Drosophila melanogaster: one gene and its partners. The protein of the gene in region 3 interacts with the protein of the main gene of each other region in a pairwise test. Each region holds a gene or a part of one and is shown on either strand. Other genes may lie near its edges. The genes, in order: CG1116, Sar1 and Cpr92A.

Region 1 (4,715 bases), about 14 Mb from region 3:
CGATCTAACTTTTTCAAATTTTTAGATTTGTTTTGTCCATTCTCTTACGTATTTTTTACTTTATTTAAAAATTTTAATTTTTTATGTCATAGCAGATAGATCCTTTTTGACGGGAAAACAGTTTTAGGGCTTGTTTCGCGGCCTTTAATCTTCTGAAAACCTTTTTTGATAATTTGGTTTATTTGGATTTTAAATAATTTGGTTTAATTTGATTTAATCCATCTACGTACAAATATCCGGGTAACAGAGCTCTTTTCCTCCTGGTGGAAGGTCGTGCTCGAAACAAAAAATGTGTAATTTGCACAAGATAACGCAACAAGCTTCAATTTCCAGATGGAAAGTTTGAAATCACGGTAACTCACTAAACGCTTACGACCAATCAAGAAATTTGTGGTAAGGATATTGAGGATCACCCAAGCCGGGTCCTATCTCCCTCCGCGTTTCTTTCTTTTGGCCTCCGGCTCGTCCAGACTGTTGGATCTGCGCGGGGCCTCCTGCCCTCTGGCGGCACCACTAGTGCCTGGTCCTCGCCCTGGCTCCTGGCTACCTCCTGGCTCGGGCAGAGCTAGGGCGCCCCGCCACGAAAGCACCGGATGCACCAAGGTGGATAGAATGGTGGTTCGGCCGGGCTTGGGTGACAGGCGATAGGTGCGAGTTGGTGGGACCTGGCGGGGGAGCTGCTCGGGCCATTGCACCGAGAAGTCGCAGCGCACGACGCAGAGGCTGACCTTGCCTCCGGAGCACAGGTCGTTCTTCATGCCCGCGGCCACGGCGTCGCAAGCCAGGGCGCAGGCGGACTCCTCGGAGAGGTCCTCCGACCACCGTGACTCCAGGATGGACATGGATACCTGGTAGCCGGAGCCGATGGACGTGAAGGGCGCCGTGTCCGTGGAGCCGTCGCTGCGAGTGCAGAAGAGATGCGCTCCGGTGTTATCCGCGCCGCCTATGATCATGTCGGCATCTATATTCCCGTTGAAACGGAACAGCAGCTGCCGTATCATCTGGTTGGCACAGCACACCGGCACTTTGCGGAACCCAGTGTTCATCCGGTGAAGCTCCAGCTGCGCCCGCGTCAGTTCCACCAGGGCTTTCGTGTCCCGAGCGGTTCCAGCTCCCGCGGCACTGTGTGGTTTCAAGGTACCATTATATTATGTCTATGGCGTACTCATAGATAGCTAGATGCTCACAAAATGTTGGCCTGCAGCTCAATAATTTTGCGGCACGTCTTTGAGAAAACTATGCCGCCGCTGGTAGCCCTGGACTCGGCGCCTATGATTACTCCGCCGTCGAACACGATGCCCACCACAGTGGTGCCAGTAGTAAAGCTATTCGGCTCCTCAAGGCCATTCTCTTTTAGTTGTTTGTTGCTGCGGACGAGAATTGAACACATAAGCAAAAGTCGCCACAGCGAAGTGGCTGCACTACAAGATACCCCGTGTCAGCAACTCTTTATTAAATATTGCGATTCAAACATTGGCAAACCTAAATGCCATCTCTTTCAACCAAATGGGAATTCGGTGAATCTTAGGGGAGCCAAAATGCTTATCTCGTGTATCAATGGGCAATGAATTGATTCATTTTTCAAAAGAGCGGGCTTACCCAATTTTTTTCAACAAAGTTGTGCCACTAGAACTATTAACCAACTAATTATTAACAAACGAAATGTTTTCCTTTGTCATTCGTTGAATAAGGTTGGTTTGTAAAAGGTTGGGTGTTGAATATGGCTTGCTGGCCATTAGGTGTAACTGTGTTCCAACTCACCGCAGACAATTGTCGAATGTAAATCCGCTGGGACCGCACAGAAAAGGCGATCGGTCTGGGTATTTCATCAAGGTTGGTAAGCCGTTGAACATAATGCGTGGATTTTATAAAATATAGCTGAATACTGGTTGTTCTCGTGCGCGACAGCAATGACAATGTTTCGAGCTTATACCCAAGGCCTACCTGGGATTCTGCTAGAGTAAAAAGAAAATTTAAATTCAGTAACACGACTTATCAGAGGTGGGACATTTAAAAAGTGGTTGGCGTACGCGCACGGCTGCTATCGCTATCGGCGGGCCTATCGAACAATTCCTGCAGACGGTCACTCTACGGGAGTCGCGACCAAATAAAAAAGTAAATAAATGATTGAAATTAAGGCGAAACTGCTGCGTGCGGACTCGGCCATCTACGCCACGGGCGAGAGAGTCCAGTGCCTGATCGAGTTCACCCACAAGGTGTTCTCCGACGAGCCAGCCGCGTCGCAGGCTGTCCACAATGCCAACGAAGCAAGGTGAGCCGAGCTGTTGTTAACTGTTTTTCTTCCCTTGATTCACCATGCAAAACCGACCAGAAGCCAGGAGAACCTGGCCTGGGCCTCGGCGCAGCTGCACTGCTACCGGAAAACTAGCTACTCTACATCCGCGGGCGACCGAGCCGCGGAGCTCACGGAGATGATCGGCAGGACGGCTTTGGATGCGGTGACGCAGGCGCCGGGAGAGGTGATTGTGGCCACCAAGCCCAAGATCCTCTTCTGCGACCTGCGCCTCCAGCCTGGAGAGACCAAGATGTGTGAGTGATGAGCTTGCCCTACTTCTTAGCTTTTTGGTTTTACTAACGAGCAAGTCGCCTTGCAGACTTTTTCAATGAATTCATTCCCCGCGATGGCCCACCCACGTACAGAGGCCACAACATCCGGTACTTCTACAAGATCACCATTGCTACGCAACGGGTCAAGTCCAAGGTGCAAACGCTGGCCGTTCCCATCCGGGTGTTGCCAATTCCCATAATTTCGCGGCCCGACGAACTTCCCGTAACCGTAGAGACCAACGAAGAGCTGGCGCCCACTAATCCGTTCCTGGAAAAGCGCGAGATCAGCGAGCTTGAGATATCGTGGCACCACCTTAAGGCAAGGAAATCTAGATCCCATAAGCAGCTGTACCTTGTCAATGTCCTCTGCTCTGTGTCTTTCAGAACGTAACCGCTCGGCGGGCGCCGAAGTTCTACCGCATCTCGAACAAACGCGGCTTCGTTGGCCGCTTTTGTTTGTTCAAGCCAGCGTATAAGCTCGGTGAGGACATTGTGGGCAGCCTGGACTTTGATCCCGGCGTTAACCCCCGAAAGGTTGGTGATTTTTTTTGTCATTACTCATAATGCGCTTTCTAAAATCCTACTGCATCTTACCAGGTGCGCTGCGTCCAGTTTTCGGTAAAGCTGCAGCAGCAGGAGCTTTCCATCCGACCGCAACCAGTGCAAAATCACCAGCTGCAGTCGCAATCCTCGACGGGCGATGATGTCTCCTCGATGAACTCCTTTGATATGGCCAGCATAGCTAGCGGAGTGTTGGCAGATAACCTCCACAAGTCGGCCACATCGGCTAGCTCAAAGGTTAAGGAGGCGCCTGAGCCAACCGGGAAACTTTCGACCATTTCCACCTCCCACCAAGTGTGCTACGCAACGCTGCAGACCCAGGTCGTGGTACCCATTCCGCTGCACGTAACACCCACATTCCGCACAGACCTCGTCGACGTGCGATGGCGATTGCATTTCGAGTTTGTGACCACAACTTTGATTGACTTTGGCATTCCGAATCCGGAGTCCGGCGAGCTAAAAGCACCGTCTGAAATGCCCGTGGAGACGATGGTATGGAATCTGCCCGTGACCGTCTACGCTGCGAATCCTCTCCAGATTTATGCTCCAAACCAGACATTCAACCTGCTTATAAAGTAATAGCACTTCAGTTAACTGTGTTCTCTTGATGGAAGTAAGTAGTAAGAAGTATTGTATTAATATATTGGAGAACTAATCCAAAGGGTTTCTCACTTTTAAGGCTATATAAGGCCGTTTAGAAAGAGCAAACGAAAGCAACAAGTCGATTACGGTTCCTTTTAAAAACTTCTGAAACCCAATCCCCTCTTACGTCTTTGTAAAATACAAAAATCTTAATTAAAATTTAGTCGAATATACGAATCAAACCGCTTGAAATCAGAAAGTCATGTTCATAGCGACTTGCACCTGGCGATGTTAGCCAAGATAATATTTACATTTTAAGGTAGGAAAATCTGTTTTTCGCATCTTAATTTATTCTGAGGTGCAAAATTCACTGAATTAGATCTAACCCGTTTCGCCTGGACTTTGAAATCGGCAACAACAGCAGCGGATGTGGGGGTTAGTTTAATAAGTGCTTATATAATTACAGTTCAAACCGCGAGTAACAAACAGCCAAGTAAGGTGATTAAAAGAGAGCCGCTGGGAGGGAGAAGTGCGATTCTGGACATTACTTGTTGGCCAGAATCTCAAACTTGATGCCGTGGTCGTGCTTCTCCAACTCGCTAATTAGTCCGGTCTTAGAGAAGGCGGCAGCTGGAGGCAGCACTCCGCCTGTGCTGGGCATCTTGTCCGACTCACGAAGAATGGTCAGTGCCGCTGAGAGCACAGCCACGCAGGTGGCTCCATATCCGGGATTCATGCCCGATACGCGGACCATCAGCGTCTTGGTCGGGGACTCCGTGTATTGGTTTGAACTCTCGGCCAGGCGATCGCTCTTAAGCCAGCCACTGGCCTTAAAAGTCATCTTGAAATAGGTGCGCTCCATTGACTCCTCACTTGGGCCGGAACGAGAGGCCAATCCGCCGGAGAAGAGACCGGGGTAATTGAGCAGCAGCGTACGTCCCAGCTTGAACTTTGACAGCAGACCGAAGATGGTGGCAAAAAAGATGACACCGCCGGCGACCAGC
Region 2 (6,276 bases), 2.8 Mb from region 3:
CGGAGGAGGAGGAGAGCGACGATGGCGGCGATTCCAACACGGACAGCGGCCAGGAGAGTCTGACGGCCAAGAAGAAAAAGAAGCGGCGCATGGCTGGCGGCGGCTCCGGGTCCGGCTCCATGGGCGGATCATCGCGTTCCTGATCCAGGGAGCGGGCCAAGCGCAAGGGCTTGCTCATGCGCCTCTTTCAACGCCAACTGATGCTGCTGAGAGGACTGCCCCGCCGCTGCCGGCTCAGTTAGCACTGAGGTCGCGATCATACTCTGCAGAGTTTTGTGTATTTTTCTACTTGGACCAGCATGTTTGCAGCTCCTGGATCCCGTGCTCGCCCTCATCGAATGCCTGCTCCCTGATTTCAATAGATGCTCCGGACGTGACTCATTAGCGTAAACCCTAAATGCAAATAAATAAATGAATCCAATATGTTTGTACATCGCTGGGTTTCATTCAAGCTCGGCACATAAATCCAATGCAAAACAACAATAGTCACCAATTTATGTATTTTACAAAATTACTTTTCTCCGTTTTATTTAGAATTCTGTCTGCAAACAAAAATGCTTTTTTATATAAATTGCTTTCCCTTTCGTATTGTATAAAAGAAACAAAGTACATCGATGACATGCAACTTAAAATTTTTAGCTAAACTAAGGTGTACCATTTATCGGAGGTCGAATCCTTATAGGGATGTACATAATGTTTTGCGGCCAAAGTAAACTATTTAGGAAATCAATAGCGACATTTACAATTCATAAACTTGAAATAAAGGTAGGTGGCTACATTTTATTGGCGAAACAGCGTTCGTTGAAAGCACATGCTCTTAAATAAATCACCTTTAATTTGCTATAATTTGTTACTCATAATTATTATTAAAAGTTTCCCTTGCGCACTCCGCGCATCCTTCAGCTCCTTACAATGTATCCCGATGTTCCAGATAGAAAAGTTGTCTTCACTTTGATGTTGTGTTCTGTTTTTCCCGCGATTTCTTGTGTGTTACAGATGTACATTGTATGGTTTTCTGTTTTTTTTTTTTTATTATTATGAAATATTTGTAATTGTTTTGTATAAATTAGAAATTGCGCACGCAGCTTCGTTTTGCTTAAGGTCTGACGGTTTGAATTGGGCTGGGTTCACATCCCTTGGGTTCTGTTCTTTCTGCGGTCTCTAATCATTTTTGGAAATTTTGTAGCCAAGTTTTCGGTTTTGAGTGTTGAGTGGTGTTCTTGAAAATATGGTGCTGGTGGTGGTTGCTAATGCTGACTTAATCGATATACTGCGCCAGCCAACGGAAACCCTCGCCGTAGCCCTGTCGCTTCAGCACGGAGCACATGAACAATTCCAGAGGACGGCCGGGCAAATCGGCGCGTGCAACTTTGCCCTGCAAGTCAAATGGATATCAATTATGTAGCAGGAGTAAGGAGGGAGGGAGGGAGGGAGGTGGTTTTGGTGCTCACCTTGCCGGTTGTTAGCTGATACAGTCCGAACACGTTTCTCAGCTCATCCTCGCTAGCCGCGCCGGGCTTATCGATTTTGTTGCCCAATATGAGCACGGGGCAGTTGGACAGCGCCTCATCCGTGAGCAGCGAATCCAGCTCGTTTTTGCTCTCCTGGAAGCGGCCACGGTCCCAGGCGTCTATTAAGAAAACGATGGCGTCCACAGCAGGGAAGTAGTCCTTCCAGACGCGTCGTGCTGCAGAAATAAGTAGATATGTCTCATAAATACAAAAGCAGCAGTTAGTCTTTAGATGGGTTAGTCTTCCGATTTTTGAATCAAGATTTGCAAGGGCACCTTAGTAGTCGCTGCTGTTGACCAACAATCTGTAATTTATATAACATCGCTAGAATAACAAAGCGCAAGTCACTGATATCAGGCACAAATCTGATATCTTTCCGCCGCTAAGAACCTTTCTACTTTAGTGTACCTAGTAGTTCCGAAGCGAAAACGATCGTCACGATGACGAGCTGCCTTAAAATGAGTGCTAGAGCTTCGTTATCAAAACAACTGGATTTCACGATGTTTGATCACTTTTCATAATGTTCATATTTATATACATATATCAACTGCATGTATGCGAGTTTTTCGTTTCTGTTTGTTATCTACATAGAGAATGTTTGCCTTCATAATATTAATAATAAATACGTCGCCTATATGTGCACAGTGGTAAGGAAGATAGTATTTGCGAAAATCAACAAGACACTAATTGCTTTCTAAACATAAATGAACATATTGATTGTATGCAATGGGTTAAATATTCTAGTATTCTGAGGTCTTCATAATCACAGTTGAGATAAGATGATAATTGAGATCTCTGGATGAGCTGCTTGTGACCACTGTGGTGGCATTGCTTCGAGTGTGTGGCGCTGATTGATCGCAACAAATGCTACGAGTGTAAGACGCACTGGCTGTATGGGTGACCTGATGCGCTATATTTCATGCTGATTGTCGTGGATCTGGCGGCTGCGCTTGCTTAGCCCTGCGATATTTGCATACTGGTCTATATTTAGTCGTGGGCACGTACGGAAAATAGCAACGATTTGGATGCACATTCACATTCCCCTGAGCTCTGGTCAAGATTAGGCACTTACCCTGAGTGTGGCCACCCAAGTCGAATGTAGTGAAGCGCATGTTGCCGATGGACAGCTCCTCGGATGCTGCAAGTCAATCATATTAGTTAATTAAAGTCACACACATAACCACTATTTAGTCCATGAAGGAAACTCACTTGGATGCAGTGTGGGCACATGCTGCGCCAGCTTATCATCTTTGAGCATATGCAAGAGTGTGGTTTTGCCAGCATTATCCAGGCCCAGGAACAATAATTTGCCAGACTTTTTCCACAGACCTGAAAACGAGAAAGTGTGTTGAATAGCCTTTTGACTTACGCGTCATCAATTAATATACGCAGCTAAACTAACACTAGTGGCGGCTCACTTGTGTTTGCCCAGCCACAGACAGCCGAATATACATTTGAGGTCGAGACAATAGCTCTTGGACTTCGGGCTAATTATTACCTTTGCTACCCAAAATGTTCGGCTATCATTAACCTGATTAAAGATCAAGCTATAACAAAAATGCGCTTATAACAACTGCTATCAGTTTGGCCTGCACTGTAGAACAGTACTTTTCGTATGGAATAATTTTAACTTTTAGCATTACAAAGCAAATAAAAGTGTAGCAGCCATCTGGAAGCGAGGAAAACCCTATCAAAAATGTCTGCTTAAATAATTGTGGCTGAAGAGTACATGGCTATGCAATCAAAATACCTTTTACAGAAGTGTATATTGTATATGCACCCTAGAGTAATGCATATTCAACGCGCATTTGTTGTGATAGAGAGACCTAATGGAAAGTTATAAGCTTTCGACACCTTATAGACACAGTTTAACCTCTAGATTTCGAGATAATCGCACGTTTAGAGCTATCACCACGACCTCCGCTGTACAGCCGTCGAATTTGGGTTTCTTTTGTGCGGCTGCCTTGTTGGCACTCGTTCAAGAAACGCCGCCCCAAGGCACAAGGTCGGCAATGGCGACGTTGCTTACCCAGGTATCCCAGCACTCCGGTGAACCAGTCCCAGATGAACATCCTGATGGTTTCGTGTGGCTATCGGTTGCGGGTGATTGGCTCCAAGAGCAGCTTGTGTGTGTTTATTGTGGGGGGAAGAGAGCTGCTGGGCTAGACGGCTGCCGGATCGAAAAGAGATATGGCATGGATAATGGGTTAGTGCGCATTTCGACTCAAGTTCAATGTCCAGCCACAGAAACACAATAAGAACAACAGCAGCGGCAGCAACAGCGGCTTGGTGTATAGGAAATCAATTTTACGGCGGCTCAACTTCCGGAACCTTGACACACATACAACAACACGCACACTCGAGCGGCGGGGACCTTGCGGATATAAGGAAGCAAATTCCTCCTGGCGGCGAAACATTCACTTGGGCCCATTATTTAGTTAATTAGGTTAAAACCTGTTCTTTGTCAACTGGGCAGCACTTTCTTTATTTCATTCTTTCTCTGCCTCCTGCCCTCTCGCTCGCTCACTGTCTGTGTGTGTGTGTGAGTGGCACTGGGTGTGCGCGTGTGTGTGCGTGTGCTGCCTGTCTGTGTGCAACTACGTGGTAACATGCATTATATTATACTTTATAATATCATTTCACGTTGGAGCACATTTCGTAATCACACTTTGGACGGCAGGTGCACGCCGATCTAAGCCGCACCCTCGAAAAAAGCATAAAAAGGGCGCAGACATCCGGACTTCCGATTCGAATTCGAATTGAGATTCGGATTTTGCACTACGTGGACGCATTTCGGAATTTAACTGCCCGCGGCTGCGGGTAGCTTGCGTTTGATATGGACTTTTACTTGCGCACTTGCTGTTGCCGCCGCGCGTTCGTATCGGTATTGGCGGCTGGTTACCGTGCGTCTGCTGTGTGTATTAATTGTCAACCTAATTCGCTTTTTCTACCTCACGTTTTTATTGGAGTCAGTTCAGTTTTTTTTAATCATAAGCCCCAGTGTGACCAATAAGCGAAAGCTGTGAAATATCGATGTTTGTTTCGTACCATCGATTTTGGGGGTAGCACGAGTAATCGATGTTTTGGTGGATAACTCTGCTAGAGCGAAGCGAGCCAAATCAAGAGTGGTTGTTGTACTCGCTAGCGATAGCTGTACAGCCCTGGTCTTTTGACTCAATCTGGCAGCCCTACCGCAAGGTGGCAACTCCACTACATGCGCGGGCAATTCCAATTCAAATGAATGAATGTATAAATGCATTCATAATGTTGCCAAACTATTTACACGCATTTAATGTTATATCGATTAGAGAATATGCAAAATATTATAAATGTTTAATTATCGTTTTATTGCATTTTTATGTTATTTGTAATAAGATGTTAATACAGATGTTATCTACAGATAACATCTTAAAGAATATAAAGTGTCGAAACAGTTGCTTGAAATGCAATAATGTAATTTTTTATATTTAAAAATATGTACATTTGTTCTCTTATTACATAGAAGAACATATACAAAATGTACAAATAATATCGTTTTGGGTAAAATGTAATTCTCTTGAAATTCAAACTAAAATTCAATCGACCTTCCGCATCTGCTGCAGGATGATGTCCTCCACCTGGACGCCATCGGGAGTGTTCAGCGCATACAACACGGCCTTGGCCACATCCCTTGCCTGCAGTTTGGGCAGCTCGGCTACCGCCTGCGAGTAAACACTAAGGAAATCCGTGTCTACCATGCCCGGGCAAATGCTCTGCAATGGAGGGATAAAAATGGAGAGGGTAACCAATGAGCAGACGCGTCATGTTTGCCGCATTTCCCGAGGATTAAGATGGAGGATGAGGCGCGCCATGTATGCACTGCATTTAACTTACCGTTAATTTAATATTTAATTTGAGAAAATGTATTTCCTGGCGCACCGTTTGGCAGAGGGCCGTAATTGCATGCTTCGTGGCCGGATAAACGCTGAATAAGGGCACCGGCACTTCCGGAATCCGATGGCCAAGCACGCTGTTGTCAAATGTTGTCCATACACATGTCCAGAGCAGAGCGAAGGAGGAGGCGGAGGAGTAGCATGAGCATCGTCCACATGCCAAGGTATGGCGGTGCGTCGGGGATGGAAAATAAAGACAAAGCGGGGTCACAAACGGCGGGTGTGCGTGGGTAAATAAAGTCAACACAACGGATTTCAAGCACTTAAAACGGCAACAAAAAACAAGTCGCCGTCGAACACCTACGGAAAATGATGGTCAGCAGCTGACGGGACATTTTTGCGTGCATTTTATGCAAACATTGCGTAAACTTCTTTTAATTTTACCCCCACACCTGACGAAAAAGCAAGAAAAGACTTAAAAACTTGTGCTATAATATTTTGATTGAATGCGAAATTTTTGGAAAAATAAGGGAATTATAAGTTACAACTAGTTTTTATATTTGCTACAAGATATTTAATTTAATTAAACTGATATTTTTATGAAGGCATTCATTCGAGTATCCTTTTTTTCGAGTGCATTTGGAAGAGCACGGGGTGGTACTTACGGCTCTGAGCCGGGGGCATTAAATGCAAACAATTGCCAACGTTGCTGCAGATGCTGGGCGGCCGGCATACCCTTGCAGTTTTTAATTAATTAAGTCTTAATATTATTGCACTGACATTAAGCGAAATGCATATGGACGACCGCCCAACTTCCACTGCCCACCTGTCAAGCCCCTTGACACACACACAGACACAGGCCCCCCGAAACGTCACATGCTCATTAGCAACGC
Region 3 (4,031 bases):
TCAACACTGAGACCATTAAGGTCAGCATGGAAGCACCTGCATAAGAAAGATTGGATATTACATGGTCGGGACCAATCACCCATTTTGTGTCCACACTCACCAATGCTCTGGTGTGAAGGTGATAAGGGTCTGCGAAAAGTAGTGCAGTGATCCAAGAATATTTGTGTAGCCGTACAGCAAAAGGATCATCACCTGGAACCTGCCATAGTTTCCACACTTATCCAGAACCTGACTGAAATCCATCAGACGTTGCTTCGATGACATAAAAAATTTCCAAAGCGACTGACTACTTCCAACTCCCTTTGAGAACTGACCAGAAGCTAAATTAAACTGCGCTGGGAATAGCCATAAATTTATCTTTAGCGGCTTTAGGCAATATGTTTCATAAAGCTAAAACAGCTGGATGGGTTTTAAAATTACAGATATACCGTCAAATGTTTTGCCAGCTGTGAGCCCTGTAATTGGGAAAATATCTACAGGAGATGTCACATCTATCGCGTAAGTTTTTGTCGAAACAAAATTTTTGCAATTAAAATACCTACATACATACCAATATTGTGCTTAACTAATCCATTATTGACTAGATTTTCCATTCAGCCATATTGGCAACTTTGTAGCATTAGCCTGCCATTCTTGTTGATCAATTGCTTTGATCTTCTGGCTAAAAATAGTTAAAACAGCTGACATCGACTGGCCCGGCGGTTGGCACGACTTTGATTCTTTGTTATAGTTAGTTGTCGCATAAACAGGCCCGATGGTAACAGCAAGGGTAAGACAATGCATGCAGATGTCAATAGTTTTCCAGATGCCAGATACAAATTTGCAGCCATAAATTAAGCTCACAAAACGGTAAACATGAGAATTGTCGCAGACACTTGGTCGTTAGAGGCTGGAAAGGGTATTTTTGGCTAATCAGGCACTCTTAGGAACTAGCTGCAAACTTTTTTGGTCCTTCCAGAAATTATCTCAAGTTTATCATTGATTATAAACTATGTAACTGATCAGTATTCCTATTACAATGTGTCCTATCATAGTCAGCTTTTAGCATCTCCGCTACGTAGCAACCATTTAAGGGGAAGATCAAACAGAAAACCAGTCTTCAGCTGAAGGATCAGTCATGAGTAACCTTATATAGTCGTCATGCCACTTTTTGAAGGGTATTATTAATGACATTATTTGCCTAGACTGCAAGTGGTTGTTTGGCCTGGTCTGTGGGCCAGACTAATGTGCCGACAGCAGCGCGTTGACCTTTTGCTTTATTAGGCTGTTGTGGCGAGCCAGTCGCCCCTGTTTCCGCCCCCCTTCTTCGGTGAGCCTCTGGCTTTTGGGCCCACTCCAGGCACTCTTAATTCAATTGTGGACCACCTGACCTTTTGCGCATGCGCTGCAACTGCCATTTCATATGGAACCTCAACATCGCCCGGTGCAGCTTGTTCTTCTTAGCTAATTACGCGGCAGCCAAATGCAGCATATCCTAACATCCAGCCAATGTTAATGTAACATTTCAATTGTGTGCGGCAAAATAAATTTTCACATAATTGCCAAAAGTCGGTGTCCAAGCGGGTATTGAAAAGCGAATCGAAAACGAATCGTAAACGTCGCAAAAGTGAAAGGGCAAAGCTCGGGTTGGATTGGCTCCGGGGTCTGGGGACCCTTTAAATGGTTTAGCGGAAGAATAACCTTTCTAAGTCGACACGATAACTGCGCCAAAGTTGAAGCCAGGCACACGATTTGCCGCCAGGTGGGCAAGAGTCAATCCCCGCCCCCGTGGCTCCGCAGTACTGGTCCGCGCCATGTGCTTGATCGCTGGCCCAAGACACCGAAGACTCCGTCTGGCCGGGTCTCTCTTGATCTGAAATTAGTTTATTGCCTCGACTGCGCCATGTGAAGCAGGCGACATTTGCCGCCGTTTGCCAGTATAAATGGCCAGAACTTCCAGCGAACGCTTGCAGTTTTGGTTACTTCTTCTAGCGCGATCGTCGTCGAAACCAACAATACTCCGGCCACTCTCTACGTGTGGTGTCTGCTGAGTCTGTGACAACTGTGAGCGAGTGGAAAGGATACCCCTGCAAGGACATCGTTATGCTGAAGGTGTGAAAACAAAGGATACCAAAGTGCTCTTATAGTCTGGACAATCAAGTTTAAGCCGATTTAACATATTCTCAAGGGGAATGCCAAGATGAATTAACCAAGTGTTCCTATTACTAAAAGCTTATATTTTATTCATACAAAGAAAATTAGTGCATAAAGAAGATAGTTTAAGTCCTAATGAAACCCGTCGAATGATCCGAGTTAATATGTGATTTGATTTAAATTAAATTTAATTGCCAAGAATTATTCTAAACAATTCTTCCCTGTCCTCATATTACTTAAAGCTTATTTCAATTTAATCGCTTTCAACATTTTCTTTTAATTTTTTTTTCAGATTTCCCTGCTGAGCGCCATGCTCGGCATCGCCTATGCGGGCGTGATTGGACCCGGACCATACTATGGCGGTCCAGCTGGTCCCGGACCTCTGCACCACTATGGAGGATATGCACCGCAGCATGGGCCCCTGCCAGGTCCCTATGTGGCGCCCAAGCCGGCTGCTCCCGAACCCTACGATCCCGACCCGAAGTACTCCTTTGGCTACGACATCCAGGATGGTTATACTGGTGACCTGAAGTCACAGCACGAGACGCGCCACGGAGATGTGGTGAAGGGCAGCTACTCGGTTGTGGATCCGGATGGAACCAAACGCACCGTTGACTACACAGCGGATCCCCATCACGGATTCAATGCGGTGGTCCGCAAGGAGCCGCTGGCCTACAAGGCACCAGCCCACCTGGCACCCGTCGTCGCACCTGCACCCGCTCCAGTACCAGCTCATTACGGCCCAGCTCCGGCGCCTCCACTTCCGCCGGTGCCCAAGGCTCCTCTGCTTTCGTATCCTCTTGCCTTAGGACCTTACCACCGTGGTGCTCCCGCTCCTGCACCAGGTCCCGCTCCCGCTCCTGCTCCAGCTCCGGTGTCTGTGCCAGTGGCTACTCCAGTCCTGCCCTCCGCCCACTTCCATGCCGCCTATCCCGCCCTGGCGCACAGCCCCTATGCCCACTATCCGGCTCCAGGTCCGGCCCCCGCTCCAGTGGAACCCCATGCCTACTACCATCACTGAGGGACCAAGGTTCTCAACTATCTGATCTGATTTGATTCGACTTCATCTATCGCACGCAGCTTACACTGACCCAAAACTGAAACTCCGGCTATATCTGTGCCAAACGCTGTACTCTCAATCTCTTACTCTGTGTTCTTCGAGGGATTTGATACCGATCCAACATGTAGATTGATTCTAAGTTACCCCTAGCCTATGTACACGTCTTTAAGAAAATGTTGTTGAATGGTTAGTCTAGGAAATAAAACGAGAATTGAAAAACCTAACAAATTTGTTTGCGGTCTTCCCTAGAAACTATTAGATTGAAGTTCCGAAGCCAAGAAGAAAATAGTCCCACAAAAAGTTTTTAAATAATTTAAAAAACAACGTTTTAACGCAATTGATGAGTGTTTTATTTATTGTATCAACTTTTCGCAATGGTTCATATATGTATATGTTATATGATATCGTATGTGGCATATCTCATATGTATAATTTCTGATTATGTATAAATATGTATATGTGTGTTGTATATAAACGTTTCGAGTATGTCACCGTATGTTATAAATAAGTTTATTACAATGCATAATGTGTTATTATTTATGTATTATGTTTTATGTTTAATAGGTTCTATGAGCTACCATTCGTAGAACATACTGAAATGTTTTCGATATCGATATAAATTTATGTACTCCTCAGCCGACTTCAAAAGTTCATCAGTGTGCAGAGTGCGTTTTGGTCTCGCTGCACTCGATTAGGTATACAATTTAAATACGATTATAGTCCTTAGTTTTGTAATAAACGGTATCAAAAGATAGGTACAATTGAGTCATGCCTGCTACCACTAAATTAATTTCGAAGCTTCTATTCCAACAAAAACGATTAGTTGCCAAGCTCGGGG

Evidence for each region.
Region 1: the proteins of Cpr92A (region 3) and CG1116 interact in a two-hybrid assay, tested with the Drosophila melanogaster proteins (one large-scale study listed by BioGRID).
Region 2: the proteins of Cpr92A (region 3) and Sar1 interact in a two-hybrid assay, tested with the Drosophila melanogaster proteins (one large-scale study listed by BioGRID).

What each region holds. Positions count from the first base shown.
Region 1 is NT_033777.3:5,217,584-5,222,298, forward strand, and holds CG1116 (uncharacterized protein), read left to right. Parts: upstream 1-2,073; 5' UTR 2,074-2,123; coding exon 2,124-2,272; exon of another isoform or gene 2,273-2,332; coding exon 2,333-2,550; intron 2,551-2,615; coding exon 2,616-2,887; intron 2,888-2,952; coding exon 2,953-3,102; intron 3,103-3,165; coding exon 3,166-3,708; 3' UTR 3,709-3,965; downstream 3,966-4,715. Other genes in the region: Prosbeta2R2 (proteasome beta2 subunit-related 2), read right to left, coding at 426-1,122, 1,188-1,367, 1,762-1,853; CG2604 (uncharacterized protein), read right to left, coding at 4,256-4,715.
Region 2 is NT_033777.3:22,354,936-22,361,211, reverse strand, and holds Sar1 (Secretion-associated Ras-related 1), read right to left. Parts: upstream 4,528-6,276; 5' UTR 4,414-4,527; exon of another isoform or gene 4,165-4,413; intron 3,696-4,164; exon of another isoform or gene 3,682-3,695; 5' UTR 3,584-3,681; coding exon 3,541-3,583; intron 2,841-3,540; coding exon 2,721-2,840; intron 2,650-2,720; coding exon 2,584-2,649; intron 1,688-2,583; coding exon 1,452-1,687; intron 1,376-1,451; coding exon 1,259-1,375; 3' UTR 501-1,258; downstream 1-500. Other genes in the region: JMJD6 (jumonji domain containing 6), read left to right, coding at 1-143; rdhB (retinol dehydrogenase B), read right to left, coding at 5,087-5,263, 5,385-5,520.
Region 3 is NT_033777.3:19,596,886-19,600,916, reverse strand, and holds Cpr92A (cuticular protein 92A), read left to right. Parts: upstream 1-1,961; 5' UTR 1,962-2,082; coding exon 2,083-2,091; intron 2,092-2,425; coding exon 2,426-3,154; 3' UTR 3,155-3,415; downstream 3,416-4,031. Other genes in the region: CG7333 (uncharacterized protein), read right to left, coding at 1-36, 101-243.